Caenorhabditis elegans: one gene and its partner. The protein of the gene in region 1 purifies or fractionates together with the protein of each later gene. This does not show direct contact. Each region holds a gene or a part of one and is shown in the gene's direction. Other genes may lie near its edges.

Region 1 (5,761 bases):
TTCGAAGAAGAGCCCAAATAACTTTTCCGCAAATTTCCGACCGTAACCCAAATCCAATTCACACCCTATCATAGCACCTACTCAACACAATGATGGGAAACCAATCCCGACGCTTTTTGCGCAAACTTGGCAAAAAAGTTGAAACAATGAGTGTGAATTGCTCTGTGAACACATAAACCGACGCAATATACATCTGCCAATTATGTAATGGATATGGGATTTCGACAAAGTTTTTTTACAAGCTTGGGAAAAATTAGAAAAAATTTTTGTGCTTTCGAAAAAAAATTACTGTTTCATGAAATTGTTGTACTTACAACGAATTTTCAAACCCCCGATGCTTTCCTTCAACTATGTATTAGCATTGCAACTTACCTGGAGATGCGGTTTTCGGCGGTGTTGGAGGAAGTGAAGAACAGTTATCCAAATCGAGCAGAAATTGTGGAGCATCAGATTTGATTGATGACGTCATCTAAATGTATTATTATGTAGTAGTAAAAGAAAACAATTTATACTAATAAGTTTGAAAGCCGACTGCGGAATATTAAAAAGATTGTGAAACAGAATAAAATGTTTTGATGAATACACTTAACAAGCAGACGATGCCAAAACTAGGAGTTGTTGTGTTCTAATTAGTAATGAACTATTTTTCAAGCGCCTTGTTTATAAAAATATTGATTAAAATGAAATTTAAAATCAAAGCAGGTAACCAGTGGAAAATTAAAATTGTTCTTATGAAAACAATTTGGAACTAGAGATTTGGTAAATTATCAATAACCGCAGTAGTCGAAAATTGAAACAAACAATTGGCTTGATAATTGTAGTTTATGTATGATTGTCGGGGCGATAGATAGTAAAATTAACCGACGTGTGTGGTTCAACAAGTAATCTGGGAATAGAAATCAAATTCAAACTTTTTTGGGAGACATTTCAGAATTGAAAAAAAACAATGAATGCGAGATTTTTATCGGGAAGATAAAACAGTGTTATACGATACAACTACCAGAAAATTTGAAGTAATGTTTCAAAAATATGGTAAAGCGCCAAACAATTTTTATCTAATTCTCAACAATCTACAGATATTTAAAATTTTCACGGTACCTCCTAGATTACATCATTTTCAAAAAGTACAACACAAGCGCAACAAAAAAGTGGAAGTGTTTAAAAAGAAAAAGTATCAGCACCTGTTAGATGGTAAAAACATTAGTAGAAGATACTCACAGCCTCACACTATATGGGTGTCTGTCTCGAGAGGAAAGTGGCAAATAAGAAGAGGAGGAGTTGTAAAACATCTGCTCTGTCGCTGGGGGTACAATACCACCGCCCATATCATACTTTTTTTCAAACTCCCTTTGCCGGCGGTCAGTAGGTCAACAGAACACCATCGTTGTAAATCAGAGAAGAGTCCATAAAAATATTAGGACTGTCGTGGGATAAAGAGGAATCATTGGGATTTACACCTTTTTGATATTACCTTGTTGGCAAAATTTGTCAGGAAAATAGGTCTCAAAACAACACATTTTTGTCAATTGACAAAAAATTAGGAATGAGAAAATTAGACGAAATATGGAAATGTCAGAAGATTGGAATTTCGGTAGAAACTACGGAGAAGAAGTTAAGGTACTTTTGAAACACACACTCGTTTACTTTCATCATAATTTTGCCACTTTTGTAGATGAAACGATTCTTGATAACAAAAAAAGATTTGCAAAGGAGGAAAACCAAACCTTGAAGTTTTTGTTTTGTTCTTCGGAAGTTGACTTTTTGTTTTATCTTATCCAGACAACCTTGAATTATAGAATTTTGGTACAATGTTGGCTTCTGCCTTCAAGTTAGGCTTTGGCCGGCTTTTTCCGGCGATGAAAAAGTTTTTGAGTCCGGGACAAGTGAAATTGACAATCAAAACTGTTGAAAACTGCACCGTGCAAAGCGTACAGAATAGTAAAAGTGATTTAAATAACCTTTGTAATGCATTTCTTCAGCTTTTAAGAGAAATTTCAATTTTTGCAGTTGATAAACTCAACTACTCTGAAATTGAGATTTTTTTTGAATACCCCTTCATGGAATTGTGGGAAAAGTTTCAGAGAAAATTGTATTTTTCTAACAGGATTGTTCAAATTTCATCATAAAAACTCAAAGTTGGAAAACTCAAAACTCAAAATTAACTAAAAATATTTACAACAAACAGACAAACGGAACAAACTTTCATATTGTTTGAAATATTAGAAATTGAAAAAGAATTCACTCAAATATTGAAAATCCTCATATCTTTTTGGTGAAACAGAAAAAAAATTGACTTCACTGTTTTTTAGAATTATTATTACTGTTAGTTATTTAGAAACACTACTCAATTCGAAGTTGTCACATCACAAAAGTTATGTTTTTCAACAAAAAAAAAAGAAAAATAGAACGTTAATAAAGCAATTTAAGCTTAAAAATGAGATCAAACCTATTTATGATTTCGTGATGATATTGCACAACTTTTTTCTTAAGTTGAACGTTTTTATAACAGTTTTTAGCTCAGCAGCAATGAAAGGAAAATTTTTTATCATTTCTCCACTCCAAAGTTATTATTAAAAAATCATGAAACCCAAAATAAGACAAGTACGTCACACGGTAGTGGGGTGGGATGATAAGTTCAAAATCACAAAGATATATTTGTCTTCAACTAATTAGACTTTTACGAAATGTGACTGGTGATTGATTTCTTCAGAAAGTCAGCATGGAAAGCAAAACTCAAAGTTGACTAAAAATATTCACAACAAACAGACAAACGTAACAAACTTTTATATTTTTAAAAATAAAAGTTTAAAACTAGAGAAAGAATTCACACAATAATTGAAAATCGGTATATCTTTTTGGTGAAACAGGAAATAAATTGACTAAAAAACATCACACTGTATTGAACGCGATCCGAGACAAATAATATTTCAGATTCTCAAAAAAGAAAATTAAAAATTTCCTCAAATTGAACTAAACTACGTCAACCTAAACCCTACACATGACACCAGAGATACCCACCGTATGCTGCTAGGGTCACTCTTCTTGAACCCTATCTTCCCGGAAGTGTGCCATTGTTGTTATTTTTGAATGGAGATTAATTACAGAGCAGGTGTAATAAGTCTCACTTTTTGATTTCTTAATTGGGATGACTTCCTGATACATCGGAACAGGCAGGTGTTTAGAGGCCAAACTACTCCACCTTTAAAACTGAAAAAAAATGAATTCGTTATTTTTATTTTCAAGATTTTTGTTAGAAATAAAAATAAAGAAAAAGTTTAAATAATTTCCCGTGTGAAAACGTGAAGAGGTCATTAGTACATCTTGATAAGAAAGGGTATAAATATTTGGCGAAAGCCGTAATAAAATCAGTCTTCAGTACCAAACAACCAACAACCGAAGCTACAACATGTCCCTCACTGCCGATCCACCAGCCTGCACTGTCCCAGCTGCCGGAGGATCCTCCACCCACAAGCTCGTCAATGGTGGAGCTGAGAAGATCATCTTCAAGATCAAATCATCCAACAACAACGAATACCGCATTGCCCCGGTGTTCGGATTTGTCGATCCAGCTGGATCAAAGGATGTTGTGATCACTCGTACTGCTGGTGCACCAAAAGAGGATAAACTTGTCATCCATTTTGCACCAGCACCAGCTGATGCTACTGATGCTCAAGCCGCTTTCGCTGCAGTGACTCCTGCTGGAACTGTCACCATTCCAATGTCGGCCACCGCCTAAAATAGAACTTTCCTTTGTGTAAAGATGAAAATAAAGTTTTTTGACGAGCTCATTTTTTGTTGTTTTCTCGGTCCTTCGTAAGATTTTTTTATAAAAAGATACCAAGAGTATACATGAGATATGAAGAAATACATCGAACTAAAAAGTCTGGAAATTTGAACTTTAATCATTCTTCTTTGCGGTCCTTACAATTTCTCCGAAATTCTGATTTTCGGAATTTTTTTTGGGAGAAATGGAAAATTTGCGCATCCAACTCGATCTTATTTTCAATGCAAAAATATTTTTGAGATATATTTTTTCCAGTTTTCCAGTGTTTTTCCGCTGCAATTTCTTAGAAGTCTCACTTTTCAATTTCTTAATTTGGATGACTTTCTGATACATCGGAACAGTCAGGTGCTTAGAGGAAAAAAAAGAGACTTGTATTTTTTCAAAGAATTACTACAATACTTTTTTCAGTTTCAAGAAATCGAGAAGAATACTTGGCTTGGGCAGTCAATTCATTATAGAATTTTGATTGTCATTAAACGCTCCGAATTTTTTTACCGATTGTAATTGTATAATGCTAATACCTAGCTAAACAGATTTTAATAAGATTGTAAATCTTTCAGGCAAAATCTAACAGTTTTCAATTGCTAAAAAGTGTTCAAAGCAGACTGGGAGCCGCCTCAAAAAGCTGTCAATGCGAATTTCACAGATTTCCAAACTTTTAAAACTGTCATTCATATACAATTGAAACAATATATATAAACCTAAAATACCGCCAAAAGAGTTCCCGATATTTGACAAGAACTTCGCACCCAATTGAGTTGAGGCGAGTCGATTACGGTAGGAAGGTGTCAATTGCACCTTGTCTTGGCGGTGAGATTAGAGGATTTGAGTGAGGATTTACTGTATAGTTACTTATATATTTGTAATAGGTTTTGTAATTAGGAATTAATTTCAATAATGTCTACCAACCAGCATAGTTGGTACAAATTCATTTTTGCCATCTCCAATTTTTTTGATAATGGTCGAAAAGATTCATGTCACTATTGATTAGATGTGAAGGAGGTTTAAGGTGCTGAAACAATTTTAGTTTACTCTCCACGGCTGGACACACAATTTTTTTCTGCATCAGATTTTTTCAGATCCAAAACTGTTGTACAGGCTCACATGCTTGAGGAACTCTCTCGCAGAAGTGATAAGAGGCAGCAGGGGTGCGCGGCAGTTGCCGACCGGCAATTCTACAAAATGAGACGGTTGGGCATGTTCCTCAGATATTTTTCATTAAAATTTATCAATGCAATTTAGAAAAATATTCGCTTTATTCGAAAATAACTTTTATTTAATTTTTAAATACCAAGAAAGTGTTCAAAAACTGTCCGAAAGTTGAGAATTGACGATGAAAATTGCCGTCAATTTTTTGGCAATTTTCACCGGTAATTTTCAACTTTCGAACAATTTTAAACACTTTCTCGGCTGTTCCAAATCAAATGAAAGTTATTTCCAGACAGAGAAAATATTTTTCCACATTATCTTTTTAAATTTTAAATATCGGGGAAAATGCCCAACCGTCTCATTTTGTAGAATTGCCGCGCACTCCTGGGAGGCAGTTATTTTCAAAAATATTAAAAAAATAATAATAAAACGCAAAAGTTGGAGACCACGGTAGTACTGAACTGTAGGATTACTGTAGTGTAAAAAAGTGTAACTACTAAAAACTTCAAGCAACTTCTGAAACGTCTGGGAAATGATGGCAATTTCACAATATTTCCAAACTTTTCAGATTTAAATGACGTTCTCCTGTCTTACCCTGAGATAGTTGTTCACGATGAGAATCACCAATCAATTAAATTTGTTTTATTTGAAAAGAAGAAACATTCAATAATGGCTTACTAGCCTTTGCTACGGTATTGTTATCTGTTCGTGTAAAATATGAATTGTAATTTAAAACCGACTTTCTACTGTTTATTGGCTATAAAAGTTCAAAACATTCCAATATTTTCTTCTTACTTGGGTGCAAAGTATGCAGATGTGGCACCTCCT
Region 2 (7,948 bases), on another chromosome or scaffold:
TCCGCTTCCAGATGAACATTCTCCATCACAAATCATGGCACGTTCGGACAAAATCCAACATGGAACGGGTTCGCCGAGACGAGCGAAAAGCCGCCGAAGATGAGCAGCGTGTGCTCGACAGGCAAATTCAGGCGGAAAACGAGCGGCGCCTGATGCAGTTGAGAGCCCGAGCCGATCAACGAATGGAGACGATGTTTAGTGGAGGAGCTGGTTCGAGCTCAGCTGGAGCAGCAAAAGATGTCAGCATTTCAGATGAAACGGGACATGTGAACTTGTTTCAGGTGATAGATGGATTTTTTGTGAAACTAATTCTGAAAAATTCGAATTTTGTGCGTCAAATATGATGCTTTGTGCAAAAATTGCCGCTCGAAAATTCAAAATTTGGCTCAGAATTGCTTCAAAAAATCGATAATTTTACCCAAAAGATCGATAATTTTCTCAAAAAAAATCGATAATTTTCTCCAAAAAATCGATATTTTCCCGAAAAAATTCGATATTATTCTCCAATAAAATCAATATTTTTCTTCAAAAAAAATCCATAATTTTTTCCAAAAAATCGATAATTTTATCCAAAAATCGATAATTTTCCCCGAAAAAATCAATATTTATCCCCGAAGAAATCAATAATTTTCTCCAAAAAAATCGTTATTTTTTACCCATAAAATCGATAATTTTCTTTTTAAAATTCAATAATTTTATCTAAAAAAATCTATATTTTTAGCTGAAAAATCGATAATTTTATCCAAAACAACTATATTTATTTCCAAAAAAATTGACAATTTTCTTCAAAAAATTTGATACTTTTTCTTCAAAAAAATCGATAATTTTATCCAAAAAAATCGGTATTTTTTCTCCCAAAAAATCGATAATTTCATCCAAAAAAAGCTATATTTTTCCCCGAAGAATCGATAATTTTATCAACAAAAAATCGATAAATGTCTTCAAAAAAATCTATATTTTTCTCCAAAAAAAAACAATATTTTTCTCCAAAAAAAATCGATAATTTTCTCCCTAAAAATCGATAATTTTATATTTAAAAATCCATAATTTTATTCTAAAAAATCGATATTTTTCTCTGAAAAATCGGTAATTTTTTTCAAAAAAAAAAACGATAATTTTCTGCAAAAAATTTAATATTTTTTCTCCGAAAAAAATCGATAATTTTTTCCAAAAAATCAGTGATTTTTTTCCCAAATAAAATCGATAATTTTCTATTAAAATAATCGTTAATTTTCCCCGAAAAATCGATAATTTTTTCCAAAAAATCGATAATTTTCTCCAAAAAAAAACTATATTTTTCTCCAAAAAAAATCGATATTTTGCAGGATCTCGAACGTGAAGAACGAAAAAACTATGGATCCGGAAACCGCGACTACGAAGCGGAAAAAGCTGCCGAGAAGAAGGAATGGGAGTCGAAAATGGGAATTCAGGTGTATTTCGCGGATAATACGAACGATTTAAACAAGAAAAAAGAGTGGTACGAGGAGCTGCCGCTGCGAAGAGCCGCCGAGCCACTTGATCGACGAAAAGCGCGCGATGCTCTGCCGTGTTTGAAGCGGAAAGAGCTGGAAGAGGAGAGGAAGCGGAAACGAGAGGATAGTGATAGTGAAGAAAAGGCGAAGAAACGGCATAAAAAAGACAAGAAGAAGAAGAAAAGTGCGATTTTTGGGCTTTTTTTTTTTTGAAAATTTGCGCGTCAAATATGGTGCTTTTTCCGTCAAAAACACGGGCAAAATCGTCGAAAATCGGTGGCCGAAGTTTACCGCGGCCACATAAATTTTCAGACAATTTTTTTTTCTGCTCGAAAATCACAAAAATTCGAAAAAACTTTAAAAAATTTTTTGCCCGTCAAATATGATGTATTATAGACGCGCAAACTTGTCATGGCCGTCAGAAAAAAAAATCGGTGGACGAGTTTTCTCTTTTTCGGCCACGGATTTCTGGCTTCCCTCATAAATTGAAATGGAAGAGTTTCTGCCGAACTAGGCCAGGCCATATCTGGGGTAGATTTACGGCGCGTTGCGTGTCGCGTCGCGGCTCGATTTTAGTTGTAAAACTAAATGTATTTGTCCGTGTGGAGTACACGACACTTTTCCACGCGTTGTCCAGCAGGCTATTGTCAATGGAGAGTGAAAAATTGGTGGCCGAGTTTTCTCTTTTTCGGCGGCCACAGAGCTTAAAGCATCACATTTGACGCGCAAAATTGAATTTTTCGAAAAAAAAAACATTTTTGCAACAGGTTATGATTTTTTGTCCCTGGAAATTTATTAAAAATTCTGGCGGAAAAAGAAAAAAACATCCAAAAACACCTTTTTTTGCGCGTCAAATATGGTGTCTTGCATCATGGCCGCCAAAAAATTGGTGGCCGAGTTTTTTTCTTTTCCGGCGGCCATGCGCAAAAATTTAAAGCTAAATTTTTCGAAATTTTCAGCAAATTTTGGGTTTTTTCTCCAGATTATCCAAATTTTTTAGAATTTTTTGAGTTATCGACTTTTTCGGCGAAATTTCTTGCGCAATCCCAAAAATTCAAAAAAAAAATCAGTTTTGTGCATCGAACCACCACGGGGTTCTGGCCTTCCTCATTGAATTTTTCGCGCTCCATTGACAATCGCCTGCCGGACAACGCGTGGGAAAGTCGTGTACTCCACACGGACAAATCACATTTAGTTTTACAACTAAAATCGAGCCGCGACGCGACACGCAACGCGCCGTAAATCTACCCCAGATATGGCCGAGCCAAAATGGCCTAGTTCGGCAAAAACTCTTCCATTTCAATTTATGAGGAAAGCCAGAAATTCGTAATTTTTTTTCGAAAAATCTGCTTTTTGTCCAACTACGGTTTGATCTACCAAAAATGCGGGAATTTTTCGCCCAAAATTATATGACGTCAGTACGTTCTTAACCATACGTTGATCTACAAAAAAATTCGAAAAATCTCTTTTTTCGCGCCTCCAATATAGGGTGCTCACCACTACAAACTACAAAAAAACCCCCCAATTTTTCTTCCAGAAAAGCACCGCCACCGTGATAGCTCTGAAGAACGTCAACTCGAAGAGGAATACGATCGAGAACGACGGCAGAAGCTGGCGAGCATGCGAGACGAGCGTCTGAAACGGGAACGAGTCGAGAAAGCGAGAGCCCATGCTTTGCTACATCCCGAGGAAATTGAGCTGCTGCAGAAACGAAAAGCCGCCGAGGATTCGGAGGAGAAGCGTGGAAAGAAGAAAAAGTACAACTCGCAATTTAATCCTGAATTTTTTAGGCAATAATTTGGTTTTTTTCCCCGTATTTTTCCCGTATTTTTTAATGTAAATTTGATCTGTTTTCCCGCCAAAGTCTAATAAATTCCATCAAAAAATTTTGCAACTTTCGTTTATTTTTCCGTCATTTGATACCAAGTATTCGATTTCATACCTATATACCTCATGACGTCACTTTTTGCAGAATTTCTTTAGAGTTTTTCGAAAAATCCTGGTGTCTTCATTCAGTGTGCCTCATTTTGGTCTGATCTACGTTGATCTACAAAAAATGCGGGAAAAGAGACGCAGAGTTCTCAACTTATTTCGTATGGTTAAGAACGAAAAATCCCGCATTTTTTGTAGATCAAGCCGTAATGGGAGAGCCTGACACCACGTGTCCGAGAGGAGTACACAATTTTCCAATTTTTTAAGGTTTTTTTTCAGCTAAAACCGATCTCGATAGGATGCCGATCACTTATCCACGGAAAATTTGGATTGTTCGACACGCGGAACGGTACTTTTAAGAATTCAAAAAAAAAATGAAATTTTTTGAATTTATTGATTTTTTCGGTTAAAATCTGAAATTATTGATTTTTCGAAAAATAAAATCAAAAATTATTGATTTTTTGGGGAAATTAAAAAAGTACTGATTTTTCGAAAAAAAAAACAATGAAAAACAAAAATTATTGATTTTCTGTTAAAATCAGCAAATTATTGATTTTTTCTTGTCAAATTCGTAAATTATTGACTTTTCGATAAAAATCTGAAATTATTGATTTTTTGGTGAAAATCGGAAATTATTGATTTTCCGATAAAAATTAGAAAATATTGATTTTTCGAAAAAAAAATTAAAATTATTAATTTTTGGTGAAAATCAGAAATTATTGATTTTACGGTGAAAATTAAAAATTATCGATTTTTCTGCGAAAGGTTGAAATTATTGATTTTTCGATGAAAATCAGTAAATTATTGATTTTTATCCAAAGTCAATAATTTCTGATTTTTCGGTGAAAATCTGAAATTATCAATTTTTCGGTAAAAATCTGAAATTATTGATTTTTTGTGAAAATCACAAATTATTGATTTTTCGATGAAAATCTGGAAATTATCGACTTTTCGAAAAAAAAAATGAAAATCTGAATTTATTGATTTTTCAGTTAAAATCGGTAGTAATGATTTTTCAACAAAAATCAGAAATTATTGATTTTACGGTGAAAATCAGAAATTATTGATTTTTTGCATTGCAGCGAGGACAATATCAATCGAAATTGGCGTAAACTCGACGGAGCCGACGGTCTCACGTCGGACAATTCGATGCTCAGCGTGCGCGGTCGGCAACAGGCGAAAGAGTGCAAAAATCGGTTCGAAAATGCACAAATCTCGCATACGTTTGCCTCGCCGTTCGATCGGACAATTGAGACAGCTTCGACGATTATTGAGGATAAAGGAATGAAAGTGAAGGCGGACGGTGGCCTTTGTGAGGCACTTTATCTTTGTGATAAGCCTCCTGGATTCTGGGAAACCGACAAACTAGCTGAGAAATTTCCGCTTGTTGATTTGGACTATATTCCTGTTTTCTCGAAGGTATCGCTCAAAAAAGACCGAGATTAGAATTGCGCCGTTGCCGGCGCTGGCGCACTGCGTGGAAAAATCAAAAGATGCCGGCGGCGGCGCTGGCGCACTAATTAAAAAATGAAAAGGCGCCGGCGGCGGCGAAAAATGGTTTGCGCTGCCGCCGGCGCTAGCGCGCTACGTGGAAAATGAGAAGATGCCGGCGGCGGCGCTGGCGCACTGCATGAAAAGATGAAAAATGCCGCCGGCGCTAGAGCCCTACGTGGAAAAATAAAAAGATGCCGGCGGCGCCGCTGGCACGCTATGTGGAAAAATGAATGAATTCCGGCGGCGGCGCTAGCGCGCTACGTGGAAAAATAAAAATATGCCGGCGGCGCCGCTGGCACGCTATGTGGAAAATAAAAAGATGCCGGCGGCGGCGAAAAATAGTTTGCGCGGCTGCCGGCGCTGGCGCGCTACGTGGAAAAATGAAAAGATGCCGGGGGCGGCGCTAGCGCGCTACGTGGAAAAATAAAAACATGCCGGCGGCGCCGCTGGCGCGCTACGTGGAAAAGTAAAAAATGCCGGCGGCGGCGAAAATAGTTTGCGCGGCTGCCGGCGCCGACGTGCTACGTGGAAAAATAAAAATATGCCGGCGGCGCCGCTGGCACGCTATGTGGAAAATAAAAAGATGCCGGCGGCGGCGAAAATAGTTTGCGCGGCTGCCGGCGCCGACGTGCTACGTGGAAAAATAAAAAGATGCCGGCGCCGGTGCTGGCGCTATAGTTGGAAAAATGAAAATATACCGGTGGCGGCAATCGCTGCGAGACCTAGAAAAATTACCGAACTTTTTTTTCAGTACACACTACCCCGCGAAGGATGTGGAGATGACGCGTGTGTGCCACGTGTCGGAAAGACCCTGCGGGCGATTTTCGAGAAATATGAAGGTAATTTTTGCGAAACTACGTAAATTTCTGATTTTCGCAGAAAAATCAATAATTTCAGATTTTCACAGAAAAATCGATAATTTCTGATTTTAGCCGAAGAAATCAATAAATTACTGATTTTAACAGAAAATCAGTAATTTATGATTTCAGCCGAAAAATCAATAATTTGCCAATTTTCACATAAAAATCAATAAAAACACGCCGCAAATTATCGATTTTCTTTCAGGAAACCTCCTACTCGTCGGCCACGGAGCATCAATCGGCGCTTGCCACGAAGTGCTAATGGGCGATTTCAAATACGTCGGGCAGGCTACCGTATCCGAGTTCGAAGAGACGGCGCCCGGAAAATATCGGCACAATTATAGCTCCGACTCGTCTCATTTGTCGGATAAGAAGAACTTGAGGCCCTGGTAGTTGAGATGCTTCAGTCAGAAATCGCTGTTTTAAAATAATTTATATTTCCATACCTTTTACGACTTTTATAAGTATATATTCATAGCTTAATTCTTTTTTCTGAATTGATTAGCTTCCAGGAAACCGGAAAAAAATTAATAAATCGATTTTCTTTTCGAGAAATATGGATAGCAAATATCGATTTTTCAAAAATTCGGGAAAAAAAAGAAAATCAGATTTTTTGAACATTTCAAAGAAATTAGGAGAAATATAATGAATAAAACAAAGAGATTTTTCCGAAATTTTCGAAAAATCAATACACGGGGTTTTGGCCTTCCTCATTGTATTTTTCGCGCTCCATTGACAATCGCCCGCCGCACAACGCATGTGAAAGTCGTGTACTCCACACGGACAAATCACATTTAGTTTTACAACTAAAATCGAGCCGCGACGCGACACGCAACGCGCCGTAAATATACCCCAGATATAGCCGAGCCAAAATGGCCTAGTTCGGCAAACTCTTCCATTTCAATTTAGGTAAGGTAAGCCAGAAATCAATCGATTTTAATTTTTTTTTGTTTGAGAAAATCAGAAAATCAATAATTCCATTTTCTCGAAATGTTTCTTCCTATTTTCCACGAATTTTCTAACAAAATCCCCGGTCAGGAAGCGATGGCAGGCACGTGTTGTCAAAGTATCCCATTTTGGTGTGATCTTCGAAAAATGCGGGAGAAGAGACGCAGACGTTTCAACTAAGTTCGCATGGTTAAGAGTGTGCTGACGTCACATTTTCCTGGGGGAGATATTACCGCTTTTTTTGCAGATCAAGCCGCAATGAGACAGCAGGCAGGAAGCAAGATTTCGGAAATAATCCAGGGTTTATAAAATTCTTCATTTTCAAACCCAGATCACTTCAAATGCTTTTCCATATTCAAAATGGAGAAGAACTATCCAGGTCCCATCACACTTTGCTGACTCGCTTCGAGAAGGAGAACGGTGAATTGCTTGGTCAACTCAACCGACTTCTTGTAGATGTATTTGTTGCTCAGTGTTGGCTTTTTATCCCCTTCTGCTGGTTTTGTCACTTTCTTCTGTAAATTTGAGAATTATTCTCTCATTTTACAAGAATTCAAAAACCAATACCTTGATGAAGTAGAGCAACGAAATGTACAGGGAGCAGTACTGACAAAATGAATCCACGGCTCTTGGTCTCTGGGAGCGAATCGATTTGACAATATCCGCAATACATGGTTCGGCAAGCTTTGTATCAATTGTGTTGACTGCAACCGCAAGTGCCAAAAAGTAGCCAGCTCGTCCAGCTCCACGTGGTGAGACGATCATCGCATGCTCGTCAGCGGGTGCTTTCAGCAAGAAGTAGTTTAGACCAAGTGCCTCTTTGATGGCGATTGCTTGTTTCAAAGGCACAGTGTCCACTTTCCAATTGCTGATAACAGTCACATTGCAGATGATCGAGTTGGAGCATCCGTGGGGCACTACTTCAATTGCAAATCGGTACACATCGTCATTGACATACTCGACACGGCGGTTATTGATCCACATCTGACCATAATTTGTATAATCTTCTGCCTTTTTAGGGAAGAATTCGATGGTTTCATCGCCGACGAGTAGATCAATGTGAGTGATTCGCTTGTCGAACACAGCTTTCCAGAATGTTTCTTCCGTATTCGTGACCGGAGCTTGACCGAGATGAACATTTCTTCCCAATGGAACATCTACAAGACTGATGTTCACATAGTCTTTGCCAAGTTTCACGAGATTGGAGTCCAAGGCAGGAAAGTCTTCCGATTGGTTAAATTT

The links.
Region 2: the proteins of ssp-11 (region 1) and Y18H1A.4 fractionate together in Caenorhabditis elegans (co-fractionation; one large-scale study listed by BioGRID). This does not show direct contact.

What each region holds. Positions count from the first base shown.
Region 1 is NC_003282.8:4,997,460-5,003,220, reverse strand, and holds ssp-11 (Sperm-specific class P protein 9/11), read left to right. Parts: upstream 1-3,406; coding exon 3,407-3,736; downstream 3,737-5,761. Other genes in the region: Forkhead box protein pes-1, read right to left, coding at 373-469; ssq-2 (Sperm-Specific family, class Q), read right to left, coding at 5,725-5,761.
Region 2 is NC_003279.8:690,386-698,333, reverse strand, and holds Y18H1A.4 (Histidine phosphatase family protein), read left to right. Parts: upstream 1-3,683; 5' UTR 3,684-3,703; coding exon 3,704-3,753; intron 3,754-4,486; coding exon 4,487-4,823; intron 4,824-5,649; coding exon 5,650-5,737; intron 5,738-5,963; coding exon 5,964-6,151; 3' UTR 6,152-6,314; downstream 6,315-7,948. Other genes in the region: Y18H1A.2 (CBF1-interacting co-repressor CIR N-terminal domain-containing protein), read left to right, coding at 12-281, 1,326-1,656, 3,010-3,269; ptp-5.3 (Tyrosine-protein phosphatase domain-containing protein), read right to left, coding at 7,078-7,221, 7,274-7,948.